3 linked regions of the Canis lupus familiaris genome follow. The protein of the gene in region 2 purifies or fractionates together with the protein of the main gene of each other region. This does not show direct contact. Links are inferred from orthologs where the notes say so. Each region holds a gene or a part of one and is shown on either strand. Other genes may lie near its edges.

Region 1 (5,229 bases), on a different chromosome or scaffold from region 2:
GGCTTATATTAAGCCTTAAGAGAAAAGGGTTGCCTGGGTGCTCAGCAGTTGAGCGTCTGCCTTCGGCTCAGGGAATGATCCCAGGTTCCTGGGATCGAGCCCGACTTTGGGCTCCCTGCATGAAGCCTGCTTCTCTCTCTGCCTGTGTCTCTGCCAGTCTTTCTCTATGTCTTTCATGAATAAATAAATAATGTTTTTAAAAAGCCTTTAGAGAAAATAAACATTTATCCAAAATAATTTCCACTACAGATTTCAGCTTAAAGTACAAATGACAGTTAAAGCTATAGCAATCTCTAGACCTTCTTATTTTTATTCATTTTTAAATCATTTTAAAGAGCTGACATCAAGCTATACTATATGAAGTAATTAATCCATTCTGGGCTTATTTTCCATCAACTCCACAGAACTTAAGCACCAAAATGATTATGTCCATTAAAGAATAGTGCTCAAAAACACTTTTGGAATTCTTTCAGAACTGCTTACATGACTGATTTGCCAGTCACATAAAAAGAAAACTAATCTCATTCTATTTACAAGATATCTTAGTCTCCTACTCAGATTCTCATTGTTCCCTCTCCCCAAAATATTGTGAGAAAAAAAGGAAAATGAAGAGAAAAACAAGCAAACTTTTCAAGTAAAGCAACTGTTAATCAGCAGCTCTCTTCCTATATTCCATATCTTCTATTTTTACATCACATATATTCAGCACTTCAAGATAAGTGAAACACAAGATGATCTGCATCTTGATCTGCAAATAAACGTCAAACTATGTGAAAGAATTAAGTTATGTTCAGTTATTTTCAAACAGCAAGTAACTATAGAGTTCATTTAACTTTCCTAACATTAAAATTATTTCTGGCTCTTAATAGGTTACTCCTTGGCTATTTAAAACTTGGTCCCTCAAGATGACTCATTTTCCAATATCTCTGGATAGTAGAGTTTATTTTGTAGCTTTAGGATCTGCTCAGTACCAATGTTTGAGAAGAACAAAACTGGAAGTTTAACATGAAAGACATATAGCAGAAAAGAAATGCTTTCACAAGAAGCAAAACTGCATAATTTAAGTGATGTCCTTGCACTTAAAAATTGACTTGTAATTCAAATTGTTATTACATGCTTCAAAATTAAGTTGTCCATTATTAATTGGGATAGAATAAAAATCAGTGAAAAATTACAAAAGCCAGCGTAAAAATTAGGGAGAACTTTAACAAATAGATGTCATTTCGTGAGATCCTAGTTCTCATCAAAAAAACAAAGAACACTTGAAGATCAAGTGTTCTACAGATCTAGAAAATGTATTTACGTACAGCCTAGATGTTCTTTCTCTGTACTGCTCACTTTTGAAATCTCACCTACTTTGATGGCTAGGCAGATGACTTCCAAATTATGCTTCTAATCCCAGCCAGGTTCCAATGCCACATTTCCAACTGTCAATTGACACTCTGAAGTAAATATACCACCATCACCTCATAAACAACATGTCTGAAATACTCTATCTTGCATCTTCATCTCAAATTTTTCACTTTTCTATTTCCATTCATGCTACTACCATTTTCCCTGTACCTGGGCTTTTTCTCCTACCTTCACTCCTAAACTTGCATACATCAATTCTGTTTTGTGCCTTTTGGGAAATCTTTCACATTTGTATCTTCTTTTCCTTTTCTAGTTCAGGTCCTTCTTCCAACAAAACTGGTTTCTCACTTTTTTAAGCCTTAAGCTCTAGCCTTTGCACTTTTTCTTACATTCCTCCCAATCCAACATACCACCCGAATTTATACCATCCAAATTCTATCCATTCTCCAAGATAATTAAAGTAAGCCCACGTTTTCAACTAGCCTTTGCTGGCCACCCTATTCTGAAAAGATTTCCTCTGCCTCTGAAATCCTAAAGCATTGTTTACAGGTAAGTATTCATCTGGCAGTTTACTCAAGTACTGATTTATGACAGCTGTTTAATTGAGATCAGATCATAACCATTTATTTATACCTCATACTGAGTGGTGCCCAATGCAGCTCAAGGAAATCACTCATAAATGCCTATTTGGAGATGGCTAATTTATTGATTGAAATTACATCCTTTCATGGAGACCTTTGAAAGAGAAACCTGAAAAAAAGAGGGTGTCAGGGCAATAACTGACCATCATCAAATCCTCGCTTTACACGGCCAAAATCAGGCCAGGACAAATTAAAGTTTCATCCTCGTCAAATGGAAAGAAGAAAAATAATACAGGCAATCACATATCCCATTTCTTTTTTTAATAACCATCCTAAAAGTTTGCAAAATTGACCTTGATATTAATCTGCCCTCCGACCCAAAAAACCTGAAGCAGCCCGAAATCAGAAAAGGTCGCAGGAATAAAGATTTGGAAAATTTCAGAGCTGCTCCAAATCGGCCAATTTATAAGCATATATGAAGACCCAAAACCACCCCTGACGTGGGCTCTCCTCTAGTCTTGCAAAGTTCAGACAGATGCTGTAAATGGGACAGCTCCAGCCCCCGCAAGAGTGCTAATGTCAAGTATTGACTGACAGGCTTGGAAACTGCGATTAACAAATTCTAAACCAGCAAGAGCCAGCACAAATCTAACTAATCTCGGCCCTGACAACCCACCCATGTTGAGAAGGGTTGGAAAGATTAAAAAAAAGAAAAGAAAAGAAAAAGGAAAGAAGTCGGTGGTCTGGGGCCAAGAGGCATTTCCAAGGTCTTCCAAACAAGCTGCGGGGCATTTCCCGCTTTGGTCCAGTCCCGGGCACTGCCCGGAGGTCCCCTGGGCGGGTCCCACGGCGAGCAAGGCGGCGCAGCGTCTCGGAGCTGGGCGAGCCCAGGCCCGCGCCCGGTCCCGCCCCGCCGGCAGGGACCCGCCTGGAGCCAGGCAGCGCCCCACGACGAGTCCGGGTGCTGCCGAGGGCCGGGAGCCAGTCTCCGCCCCTTCCCTCTCTCCCCGCCCCGCACTCCCAGCAGGACGCAGCTGCCCGGCGTGCGGAGAGCGGCCTGTCGTGCGCCCCGCGCGAGGACTCCGGCTCCCGGCCCCGCTGGCTTGCACACCTGAGCTATCTCCATCCTCGGAGACCGACGAGCTTTCCGTGTCCTCGTCCTCTGAGCTGCTCCCCTCGTTTTCGGCGTAGTCCACCTCCATCTCATCGTGATGGTTCGTCTCCTTCTTATCCCCTCGGGAATGGACTGGCATTTTCCAGCCGCGCCGTCGCTTCCCACTCCCGGCGCCCAGCCCAGCCACCGCCGCTTCAATGAAGGGCGCGCCGAACGCCCCGACCCACCCAGCGGCCGAGCGCGTTCTGAACCCCCTCAGCTCCTCCCCGCCCCCGGCCCGTGCCTCACAACCTAACCCGCAGGCTCTGAGCTGGGAGCTCTGCCATTGGTGGAGGCAGTCCTCCGAGCCGGGGGGGTGGGGCTTCCCCTGCTCCGGGATGGTTGGTTGCCCGTAATTACGGCGCGGCCTTGCAATGTGTGTCGGGAGTCGTAGTCCTTACTGCTCAGCCCTGCAGGGGCTGCCGCCTTCCAAGCTTCAGCAACCCTGTTCACTTCTTGCTTGTGGACTTCAAGTCCCACAAGGCACAAAACCTGACAGACTCGCTCGCAGTTTATAAACTAAACAGAAACAGATTGTGTGAATTTGGACCGTATTTATTCTTTTCCCGCCAAATGATTGTCCAAGCTCCAGTGCCATCCAAGATGTTACTGTCAGATGTGAGAAGGTCTTTTGCCTGAGGGTTTTCTTCCTTTCTTTGAGCCTGGAGGAACTGGAGAAACTTCCACCTAAGCACCTTTATTATCGTTAATAAGCTTTTTAATTAATAAGTGCAGACGATGACTTGTACTTTTTATGTTGCACAAAAATCTTTAAACCGTTCTTGAAACACTTGCAATCAACAATATAGAAAGGGAGGAAGTTTTATCTTGCCATTTTCATCAAGTATTTTTTGCATTCATTTTTTTACTACATACAGCCTGAAGATGCCACTAGGCTTGATTTTACTTAAATTTTCGATGAAAAATACACATTTGACTCAATGAAATGTTAGCTTTTCTCAATGATGGTAAAATAGACAAGGAAGTCTCAATAAATATCATAATCCATAATCATAATAACTCCTATTAACTGACTACTTTTACCCTGTATTAGGTGCCCTGATGAGTTCTTTACATGAGTCATAATGAGTTTAATTCTCCATAGGTTTAATCTCTCCGAGGTAGGTACTATTATTATCCCCATTTTACAGATAAGGAAACTTAATTTGCAGGCAAATCAAAAAATTGTATTTTAGCCACTCTTTAGAAGACAGAGCTGCTTCTTGAAGTGGTAATTTGCTATTGAAATATTTCATAGAATATTGTGAATTGTACAGCATTTATTTCTCCAACGAAGTCCAAAGACATTTGAAGGAGAATGGTAAGGGTATCCAGGCATAACTGCATTAAAGTTAGATTGAGAATTTAATGACAAACCATTTCAAATTCTACCAATTTCTGTAGGGTAAAATCCAAATTAAGGGGCTTTTATCATCTAGTGTCAGCCTACTTCTCTCCTTCTTACTAGATTCTCCAAAACTGAACTCTTCAGTTGCTAAACACACAGTTCCCCACCCATTCCAATGTCTTTGCACATCCTATTCTCTCTCTGCAATCCTCTCCCATCTCTTTTTTTTCAAAGGCATTTTCTTGACAACATGCATTACCAAACCAGTACCTCCACCATTCAGTATGCACTCATGTTTTTTCAGACTGCTGCTGTACTTTGTCCTTTATATTTGTTTTCTATCACACTGTATTGTGAATTTTTTGGCTGATGCGCCCCACCAATTAGATGGTGAGTACCTTGAAAGCAGAGACAGTCTTAGTCTGGGATACAATTTCAGAAACATACATTAAAGTCAGGTAAAGTTCAAAGATGGAAACTGGAACGGTGCGAGCACATGGATATACATTATGTGAGTGGTGCGGATTAAAGGGGGCAACTGTTTTAGCTCCAGCCAATTATTTTTTTAAATTTTTTTTTAATTTTTTTTTTATTTTTATTTATGATAGCCACAGAGAGAGAGAGAGAGAGAGAGAGAGGCGCAGAGACACAGGCAGAGGGAGAAGCAGGCTCCATGCACCGGGAGCCCGACGTGGGACTCGATCCCGGGTCTCAAGGATCGCGCCCTGGGCCAAAGGCAGGCGCCAAACCGCTGCGCCACCCAGGGATCCCAGCTCCAGCCAATTATTATATAA
Region 2 (4,743 bases):
GCTAAGCCACCCAGGGATCCCTCTCTCAAAATCTTAATTAAAAAAAAAAAAAAAAAAAACTTTGATACGGATTACATCCCTTTATAGATTCCTCATAATTTTAAGAAGTAAATAATTCGGTAAAGTATATCATTTTACGTAAGTTTGGAGGCTCACAAAGGCCAAGTGACTCAAATGGCTAATAAAGGATCAGAGCCAGATATCAGAGACCATGTGTGACTCCAATGCTGAAATCCACCTGTCCCTATAACCAGTTTTTATAATTTCTTTAGAGTCTCAATTATGATTCCCACTATGCCTAGACAGTAATAATAAAACCGTGTCAGAGACATTAAAACCCTAGACTTTATTTTTTTTTAAAGATTTTATTTATTTATTCATAAATAAAATGAGAGAGAGGCAGAGACACAGACAGAGGGAGAAGCAGGCTCCATGCAAGGAGCCCGATGTGGGACTCGATCCTGGGTCTCCAGGATCACACCCCAGGCTGCAAGCTGTGCCAAACCGCTGCGCCACCAGGGCTGCCCAAAACCCTAGACTTTAAATAATAAAATAAAATTTAAAAAGCAGAACAGAAAAGAAAAAAGGAAGAGAAAAAAGAAATCAACCAACTACTCGAGAATTTGTCCTTCAGTAATAAAATCATGTTATTTACTAGGTTAATTACTGGGTATTATCAGTTAAAATATCTTTTTTTTCATTCATGAGAGACACAGAAAGAGACAGGCAGAGACACCGGCAGAGGGAGAAGCAGGCTCCATGCAGGGAGCCTGACGTGGGACTCAATCCCAGGACTCCAGGATCACACCCGGAGCTGAAGGCAGACACTAAACCGCTGAGCCACCCAGGGATCCCCAAAATGTCTTTATTTTAAAGCATCTCTTGATAAAGAGGACTTTTTCCCTTCATGGCTTGTTATAATACTAAGGGCGTTAAACTGAGTATCTGTGAAGCCAAATACATTAGTCATTCTTACCTAGGAACACCTTTTAAACAAAGCCACAGAACAGCTTCTTTTATTTTCTAGTAAGACTAAATTTATTCAATACCCTAAGTAAAAGTTTTGATTATAAGTATCCAACAGTATAAAAAGTACAAAACAGATTTGTAGATTTCTAATATATTAATACAAAGTGCATGACTACATACAGTACATCCTACAGGCAAAGAGGTGGAAGGGGATGAAGAAGACTGTGGTTGAGGTCTAGCAATAAATAAATAAATACAGAAGTAGAGATGATCCATATTATAGTATATTCTACCACCAATACTGTAGCCAAAATGTACAAAAACAAAAAGCAAAAAAACAAAAAAACAAACCATTTCAAAATGACAGGAGGAAGATGATCATGGCCGGGACTCTTGTAACACACCTCAACGGCTGTGGGAGAGCCAACCCAACTCACTGTGTAGTCTGTGCATATATGGTGGCTTGTAGTTTTTGCCATAAGGAAGAAATATAAAATTTTAAGTTTAGATTAAGAACTATAAAACTATAGGGTGCCCATAAAAAGTGGCTCACTCCTTATTGTTATTTATACTATCCAATTTTAAAAATCCAGTTTTAAAAATAAGCACTGAGTCATGTTAATATAAGGTAGGCAAATGATCCTCCCTTATTATGAAAAGTATGATCTGGTGATACATTTTTTCTGAACATTTAGAAAAGAGGCAATGAGAGTACTTTGGTTTGGGTTCAAGTAAAAGGCTTTCAAATGAAGATTTTAGAACTGAAGAGCTCCATGTTCAGGATGTATCGTCTAATATCTCAAGGTTCAAAAAGCCTGACTAGAAGAAACCAAACCTAAGCCAACCCACTCAGCATTAACACACACCTCTTTTCTTTTAGTAGAATTTTACTTTAATATGTGAAAAAAAAAAAAAAAAAAATACCACCCAAAACCCTAATAGGTTAAAACAAGTCAAACAACCACTCTACACAGATAAAACCTTCACAAAGGTCAACTGAAGTAATCCAGAGCTAAAACTGAATTGTGCAGATTTTCGATGAAGTCACCAGTCATGTAACACAAACAAAAGTCAATTATTTACACACTAGGCAAGCCCTCTAAGAAATGTGCCCCAAGAAGCATTAACCTTTGTTTTTTTGTGTGCGCCATCCTGAAGACTTGCACATTTTTTTAAGATAATTTAACCTTTTTAACAGAATGTGATCTCTACCAGGTGGTAATGCTTTGGTACTATTCATCTAGGACTGCTCATCCTAAAACTTGACATTTCCCCAAAGATTTGACTCTGCTTTAGAAGTTTCAATATAGATAAAAATCTTTTATCAAATATCAATATGGAGGTGACACAGGATGCAACATATACAGTCAGGTTACCTCTCTGTATATTTAGAGATTACTCCTTCAAGGTATTTGCGCCAGAGCTTAGTCTGTCCTGCTTCATATTCAGTAGTACAGGTTTGAATCATCAGAACCTTGGCAAGACCTTATTTTTTCAGAATTATTAACAACTACCTCTAGGGGCAAGTCCATGTTACTGAGTTATGACAAATTTATTATCGTGAAGGAAAACAAGGATAGCCGTCTTAAAAAATGCCCCAACCACTGCTTCTCAATATAGAAAGACTAAAACTACATACGTTTATCATACAACAAATCCCATCTCTGTCCCCTGAAATTCCCCTAGTTTCATTCATTAGAAGGGGATTAAAAAAAAAAAAGACTTAAAGAGCACTTTACAGCAGCATTCAGCTTTCCTATGAAATACTCAGCATCTTAAATATTATGTACACTTCTTTTTTTCTTTCAGTAAGCTAGACACTGGCTTCAGAGTTTGTGGAACTGGAGAAGAAATAACCCATTCAAAACTATTCTAGAAATTGTCTTTTGGCAGAATAGCATGTATCCAAGTTAAAAATAGGAGGGTTTTGTTGCTTTGTTTTCTTTCCAAAATTTAAATCATTTTTGTTCCCCTTCTACCTAAACCTCAGTCACCACTCCTGAGTGGAGATGGGCAGAGGCTCTGGCCCCTGCTCCTCCGGCTTCTCAGCAGCTGCTTTCTTGTTGCTGCAGCAAGGCTTGAATAGATGTGTGTCAATGAGGACTTCCCCAAAACGGCCTTTATAGATAATTCCACAACATATTTTCTGTCTAAAAGAAAAAAAAGGGGGTGGGGGAGAAATATATTAATAAGGTAGAAAACTAGTAATACAAGAAAACAAAAAAAGGGGGGAGAAATCTATAACACTGTAACAATACAACATGATCAAAGGGTTCACTTCTCTGGTCTCATCACATTTCAAATGAAGGCTCCTAGAAAGGCCCCCAATTAGCTAAGTTATAGGAATTACCCAGGTCCCTTAAATCCCACACTGGAATCTTACCAAGTATTAAAGGGGACAGGGGTCATTCTGAGATAACAGTTTCAGAAACGGCTCCTAAAGTTATAAACTGTTTCCTCTAAAAATCAGTAACTCTTTTTTTTTTTTTTTTTAAAGATTTTATTTATTTATTCATGAGAATACACAGAGAGGAGAGAGACAGGCAGAGACACAGGCAGAGGGAGAAGCAGGCTCCATGCAGGGAGCCCGACGTGGGACTCGATCCCGGGTTCCCAGGATCACGCCCTGAGCTGCAGGCGGCACTAAACCGCTGAGCCACCGGGGCTGCCCAAAATCAGTAACTCTTGAAAAAAAACCCAGCCATCATAAACAGGCTGATACAACTGGCAAATATATATAATCAAATATACACCACAGCTTAAAAAAACGAGAGTACAACAAAACACCATGGACCACATATAAGGGAAAAAAAAGAACCTTTTCCTATGAAGTTCCCCTCTATGCCCCTCTCCAATTCCACCCCACCCCATCTCATTCTCTCCTCTTAATTTTAAGCCTATCATTACTTTTTTCTTTACACTTCATGGTTTTACCATGTCTGCATCTCTACATATATTGCTCGGTTATGTCCAATTAATTAAAAAAACAACACATATATGGAGTCACACTCTATCCTGCAATTTTTTTTTGCTCAACATTAATTGAGGTTCATACCTATTGTTAGGGCTTTTATTTCATTTTATGTATCATATTCTATCAAGTGAATATACCATAATTTATTTATCCACTCTCCTTTGGATGGGACAACTGCTATTATAAACATGCCATACACGTTAATGCATGCCTAAAGGTTTTTTTTTTTTTTCCTAAAGGTTTTTTATAGGTTCTGTTGCTGGGATATAAAATGGAAACATGTTTGTGTTTACCCAAAAATGCCAGTTATTTATCAATGTGGTTCCTTTCTATTCCTATTAACTAATAAGGGTTTTATCTTAAACCCTGATGAACATTCAGATTTGTCAAACATCTTTAAAGTACTGCTAAGATAGTAGGCATTTGGGGGCGTCTGGGTAGCTCAGTAGGTTAAGTGTCTGCCTTCATAGGCAGGATCCCAAGGTCCTAGGATCAAGTCCTACATTGGGTTCCCTGCTCAGTGGGGAGCCTAACTTCTCCCTCTCCCTCTGCTGCTCCTCCTGCTTGTGCTTTCTGTGTCAAATAAATAAAAATTAAATCCTAAAAAAAAAAAAAAAAAATAGGTATTTCCCCCTTTCTTTACAAACTGTCAACATGGCAACTTTATTATCAGTTGATTTTTAATTAGTTTAATCCAATCTTACATCACTAGAATAAACCTAATCTGGTCATGATATACTCTTTTAGTATCAAAGTTATGTTAGCCTCATAGAATGCTTGGGGCCTCTGCTCTTTTACTC
Region 3 (5,231 bases), on a different chromosome or scaffold from region 2:
TTTAAATTTTTTTTTTCTTTTCCCTCTCCGGTAGGCCAATTTCCTGAAATGGCTGTCCTGCGTGTGCAATTACTAGGCTAGAGGGTACAAATACGTTTAAGGTCACAGAAGAAAATTTCAGATCACAGGGTGTCTGCTTCCAAACATGGAAACCGGTAGCTTGCCCTTTTTCATCAAGATACAAACCAGAAGCCTCTAGAATGCCAAGCCTACCCCCGCCCCCGCCCCCGCCCCCGCCCCATCCTGCCCCGGTCAGTGCTAACCCGTCCCCAGGCGCGGGCCCGACTGCGGGACCTGGGCTCGTCGCCGTGGGCCAGAGGCCCGGGTGTGCCCGCCAGCTGCCCGGCGGCGGCCGGCCTGGGGTGCTAGCCTAGATTTCCCCGAGGCCCTGCTGGGTGTGTGCGACGCCCTGGCGCCCAGCCCCGAGCTCGGGGAGTCGGCAGGGCACGGTCACCTCGCGGATACCTCGGGAGGCTGAGAGCCACAGCAGCCGCCGCTGAGAGCCGCGGGGAGGGCTCGGGACGCTGCGAGCACTTCCCCCTGGCGGACGCGGGCCCTCATCCTCCCCGCCCCGACCTCTTCCTCGGGTCCCCGGCGGTTCCTCGAGCCCACCCCGCAGACCTCCCCCCGCCTCCGACTCTTCCCGGCCGAGGGGTCTCCCAAGCGCCCCGGGGGCCCCTGCCTCCCTGCCTCCCTCCCTCCCGCTCCCCGCGCGGCCCGGGTCTCCGCCCCCCTCGGCATCCGACTGCCTCGCAACACCCGCCGTCAGACCCCATCATCTCCTCTGCAAGCCCTTCCCCGCGTCTGCGCCCGGCTGCCCGTCGCTCAGCCCTTGCCGCCGCGTCCCCCGACCCGGGCCGCGGCCCCCGCGTTCTCCCCGCGCGTCCTTCCCAGGACAGAACCCCCAGCCGCGCCGGTCCCCCTCAGATGCCCCTCCGCGCCCCGCCCGCGCAGTACTGTACGCCGCCGAGCGTGCTCCTCTGTCCTGGAGTCTGGCCCTCCGTCCAGTCAGGCCCCGGCTCACCATCCCTCCCCCGGCCTGAAAGTCAGCGGCCGCTTCCCCGCCCGCACCCGGGCAACTCTTCCCTCTCGCACTTTCTCTACTTTGAACCCATCCCAGCAGAGTCCAGGAAGTAGCCAGGCGCCGGGGACTGGCGGCGGAGGCGCCCAATGGGGCGCGCCAGCGGCGGCGGCGGCCCCGCCCAGAGGGTGAGCACGGCCAATGGGCGCGCGGAGGCGGGACTTCCGCTGTCCCGCGGAGGGCGGGGGAGCGAACTGTTGTGGTGCGGCGCGTCGGGCGGGCGGCGGCTGGGCGGCCCAGGGGCTGCCGCGGGACTCGGGGCGCAGCCGAGCGGCTGCAGGGGTGGGGCGAGCCGGACGCGCCCCGGGGCCCGGGCGCCGCGGGTTCGAGGCCGGGCCCGGCGCGGGAGGCCGCGCCGCCCCGGGGGAGCTGCCCGGCGGTGAGTTTGCCCCGCAGCCGAAAGAAGGCGGGAGCCGGCGGGGGCCCTCGGAACCCCCTGGCGAGCCGGGCCCGGAGTCCCCGGGGAGCGGCTGCTTCCTGGGGCGCCTTCCCGGACGCCCCCGCCGAACGGCAGCGGTTCCGGGCCCCCGGCGGCAGGCGCCTCCGGGTGACCCCCGGCGGGGCCCTGCGAGCCGCGGCAGCCGACCCCGGGGCCTCGAGCGGGGAGGAAGGGGCTTCCCCGAGGCGCGGGGCCGGCGGCCGGAGGAGCGCGAGCGCGGCGGAGCGGAGCCGGGCCTCCCCGGCGCGGGGCAGGGCAGCGCCGCGTCTGCGGACGGACTCCGGGACCCTCGGGCGCGGGGGCCTGGGCGACCTGCCCCGCGGGGCGCGCGGCCGCGGAGTGGCCTGCCGGGGACCCCCCCGCAGAGGGGCCGGCCCGGGGCGGGGAGATGAACGGCTTCAGCACGGAGGAGGACAGCCGCGAAGGGCCCCCCGCCGCCCCCGCCGCCGCCCCGGGCTACGGCCAGAGCTGCTGCCTCATCGAGGACGGCGAGCGCTGCGTCCGGCCCGCGGGCAACGCCTCCTTCAGCAAGAGGGTCCAGAAGAGCATCTCGCAGAAGAAACTCAAGCTGGACATCGACAAGAGCGTGAGTCCGCCCCCGCCCCCGCCCCCGCCGGGCCCCCGCCGGGCCCCCGCGCGCCGCCCCCCTCGGCCGCCGTCCCCGGCTGCGGGCCGGACCCCCGGGGCCCTCCCCGCCCTGGGCCTCGCCGCCCTTTATCTGCAAACTGGGGAGTTGCACTCGGGATTTCAAAGGCCGCTTCAGCTCTGGCAGGCTCGGACTGGGATCCTGCCCAAATCCGGGAGGCTGGGGTCCGGGGGGGGGCGGGGGGCGGCGGTGTTCCGAGGACCTTTCCTGCCTGGGAAGGTCTGACGGCAGTTGAGGGCTTGCGGTATTGGTTTTGATACTGGGGCAGGGAGACCTGGGTTAATCCTGTTGGCCCACGAAGCTGCAAGTGTTGGGGAGGGGCGATGAAGGGACCCGGCTCTTCAACTGCTCTCTCCTCGGAACCCTGTGATCGCTTCAGAAAAGGAAAGGGGGCAGTTACTTCCCCCCACCCCACCGCCTCAAGCCACCGCCTCGGCTTCTGCAGAGGGTCACCGAGCTCGCTGCTTGCTGCTTCGCATGCAGCTGCGGGGAAATGGGATTTTCAAGGATGTGGCGGAAATAAGGCCAAGACCAGGTCTTGGGAGGTGGCTGTCTGCAGTCCAAGTGACCAGGAGGAAGAAAATCCATTTTCTTACGGGTAGCTTCTTTAGAAAGGCAGTTGGAGAAGGGGCGTTACATTTGAATAGAATCGCCCTGTGTTTTGTGCCTAATTATAGGAAAACTTTTCCTGTGTGATTTCACCACTTCTAGTTAACAATTCTAAAGATGTGCCTATTGTCAACCAATTAAGAACTTTTTAGTTTGACATCTGTTGCTGCAAGCCTTAAGTGGCTGCCTTGTGATTAGGAATTGGAAATGAGTTAAGGGTGCCTTTAATATTCAGGTAGACCAGCTAAGAGCTCAGGTGGTTAATATCCAGTCTCCTTTAGGACCAAAATTCCACTGTTGGGGAAAATTAGAGATTGCTTGTTAAACTGAAAGGACACACACTTTTCTGCTTCGGATCTTAGAGTGGACACTGAGGCCTAGAGATAAGAAGTGACCAGGCCAAAGTCACACAGTGACTAAGAGGCTGGTTAATTTCTTAAACCCATTATCTGACTTTCTTCTGAACACTATGCATAAGCTTTGATTAGGTCTAAATAAATAAAAAATCTTACTGCCTCTTCTTTCAGGCTCTTCCCTCCCATTCCCCTCCTCCCCCGCCTTTCTTTTAAGGTAACAATCAATATATTTGCCACTCTTGAAAGATGCTGTTTTTTTAAAAGGCCGGGGGAGGGGGGGGTTGTCAGTTAATGGCTTTCTTACTACAAATCTGTACCAATGAGTGAATGAAAGGAATTCAGAGAGCAAACAACTGGCTAGACACTAAGGAGGTCCAGATTAGGACATGTGTTGAAGTGAAATGCCTAATTCTAAGACAGCAGTGAATTTATCCTCTTGGAAACACTGCCTACCTTTTGTGTAGGTGGTTGGGAGCCTTTACTTGAACAGCTTATAATATTTTCCAGTCCTTAAAAAAAAAAGAAAGAAAGAAAAAGAAATTTCCAGTTCTTTTAAATTCTTGGATGCCATGACATCTGAACAACTGTGCTGCCACTCGGGGTCCATTTACCCAGTGACCCCACTGGAAAACCTGTGTTGAGCTATGTTGGTGGTTTCACACACAATGTCTAGGAGAGAGGCCGCATGAATGTGGCACTAGAGTTCCCCAAAAGTAATGTTTCTGGAGGAGTAGTGTTTCAAGGTGGAATCACTCACAATTTGTTTCAAGGTGGTGGTATAAAATCATTATTTCTGAAGGGGGATTCTACTTCGTTCTCACAGGCTTGGGCAGGAATTCAATTCTAAGTAACTGCCGTGTCACAAGAATTTTAGCTGTTGCAGAAAGTGAAACAGAAAAGAAAAACACTGGGGCTTTTGCCACCACCCTCGTTCCTCCACCCCTAGCCCCCAAAGGCCACTGAGCTCTGAAATTTCTGAAAATCAGTACGTACTTGAAAATCATTAAGGAGAAATAATGACTATTTATCTTGTAAAAGGGCCTAGCAGAAAACCTTTTAAAATAATAGCACCAGAAATCCAACTCAGGCAAACTCATTTCATGTAGACATTGGCAGTGCTCTATGAGTTATTAATATATAACATGCAATCAAGCATTCCTCCAATTGACATATTTCTGCTTTATTCTGGAGAAAAATGGAAGTTGAGAATAGTATAAAGAAAATGTTGTGGTAGGAAAGGACATGCACAAGGGGTCAGAAGGCGTGGGTGACCTTGGCCAAGCTCACAACCCCATCTGTGTGGCTTCTGTTTATCTCTGTAGAAAATGAGATTGGGGCCAGTGGGGTTACACTGGTGATTCTAAGTTCTCTTCCATCCAGAATTCCATTATTCTAGTGTCCTGACCTAAAACCTCCTGGCCACAGCTTCAGGAAGCCCCCTCCGCTGTCTGTTCTACCAAGCATGCCACTGTGAATTTGAGGAGCTGCTTAATCTCCGGGCTTACATGTGGAACTGGCTAACGTGAGGGCCAGCTTCCCATCAGGAACAGAGAGTATGGTGTGCGTGTGCTTTCTTCCCTGCCAAAAGCATGTCCGGCGGTCTATACATCAACTAGGCGGGATTCATTGGGACGGTGACACAAGCTGTGTCTGAAAGTCCTGTGGCAGAGTTGACACTGGCAAAGCTACTTGACTCTGTAGCCATACGTAAGGGCAGCTTTTGCTGGCCTAAGCTGCTTTTGGACGGCAGGGGCTGCCTGTCCTGGTGCAAGTGCACTTAGAGAATACCTGCTGTCTGCAAGATACAGTCACAGTAGCAGCTTAAAAGTGCTCAGGACTCACCAATCCAACCACATGAAAGTGGTGATTCATCTGACTAAAAAGCAAGTTTCATTATTTTCTCCATGAGAAGGCCTGAATTAATTGATGCTGGCTTCCTATCAGCTTATTTTTGTCTGTATAAATTTATAAGGAATAAATTCAAATTCAGAAGTCTCTCTAGAACATTTGTGTAGCATCTGTTCCAGTGTCAACAACCCCAAGTCATTTACACAGGGCTTCGTTTTGGTTAGGGTTCCGAGTGGCTCCTCCAGCCACCCC

The links. Proteins that work in one complex are often made in the same cells at the same time.
Region 1: the proteins of SINHCAF (region 2) and BRMS1L purify together in Homo sapiens (affinity purification with mass spectrometry; 3 studies listed by BioGRID and IntAct, counting the BioPlex papers as one, with this or other methods). This does not show direct contact. The link is inferred for Canis lupus familiaris from reciprocal best matches to the Homo sapiens genes SINHCAF and BRMS1L.
Region 3: the proteins of SINHCAF (region 2) and SAP30L purify together in Homo sapiens (affinity purification with mass spectrometry; 3 studies listed by BioGRID and IntAct, counting the BioPlex papers as one, with this or other methods). This does not show direct contact. The link is inferred for Canis lupus familiaris from reciprocal best matches to the Homo sapiens genes SINHCAF and SAP30L.

The regions. Positions count from the first base shown.
Region 1 is NC_049229.1:14,648,007-14,653,235, reverse strand, and holds the start of BRMS1L (breast cancer metastasis-suppressor 1-like protein), read right to left. Parts: upstream 3,339-5,229; 5' UTR 3,188-3,338; coding exon 3,046-3,187; intron 2,093-3,045; exon of another isoform or gene 1,987-2,092; intron 1-1,986. UniProt on the Homo sapiens protein: Involved in the histone deacetylase (HDAC1)-dependent transcriptional repression activity. When overexpressed in lung cancer cell line that lacks p53/TP53 expression, inhibits cell growth.
Region 2 is NC_049248.1:29,113,391-29,118,133, forward strand, and holds the end of SINHCAF (SIN3-HDAC complex-associated factor), read right to left. Parts: intron 3,120-4,743; coding exon 2,960-3,119; 3' UTR 1,015-2,959; downstream 1-1,014. UniProt on the Homo sapiens protein: Subunit of the Sin3 deacetylase complex (Sin3/HDAC), this subunit is important for the repression of genes encoding components of the TGF-beta signaling pathway.
Region 3 is NC_049225.1:56,124,188-56,129,418, reverse strand, and holds the start of SAP30L (histone deacetylase complex subunit SAP30L), read left to right. Parts: upstream 1-1,893; 5' UTR 1,894-1,908; coding exon 1,909-2,106; intron 2,107-5,231. Other genes in the region: uncharacterized protein LOC111095576, read right to left, coding at 958-1,027.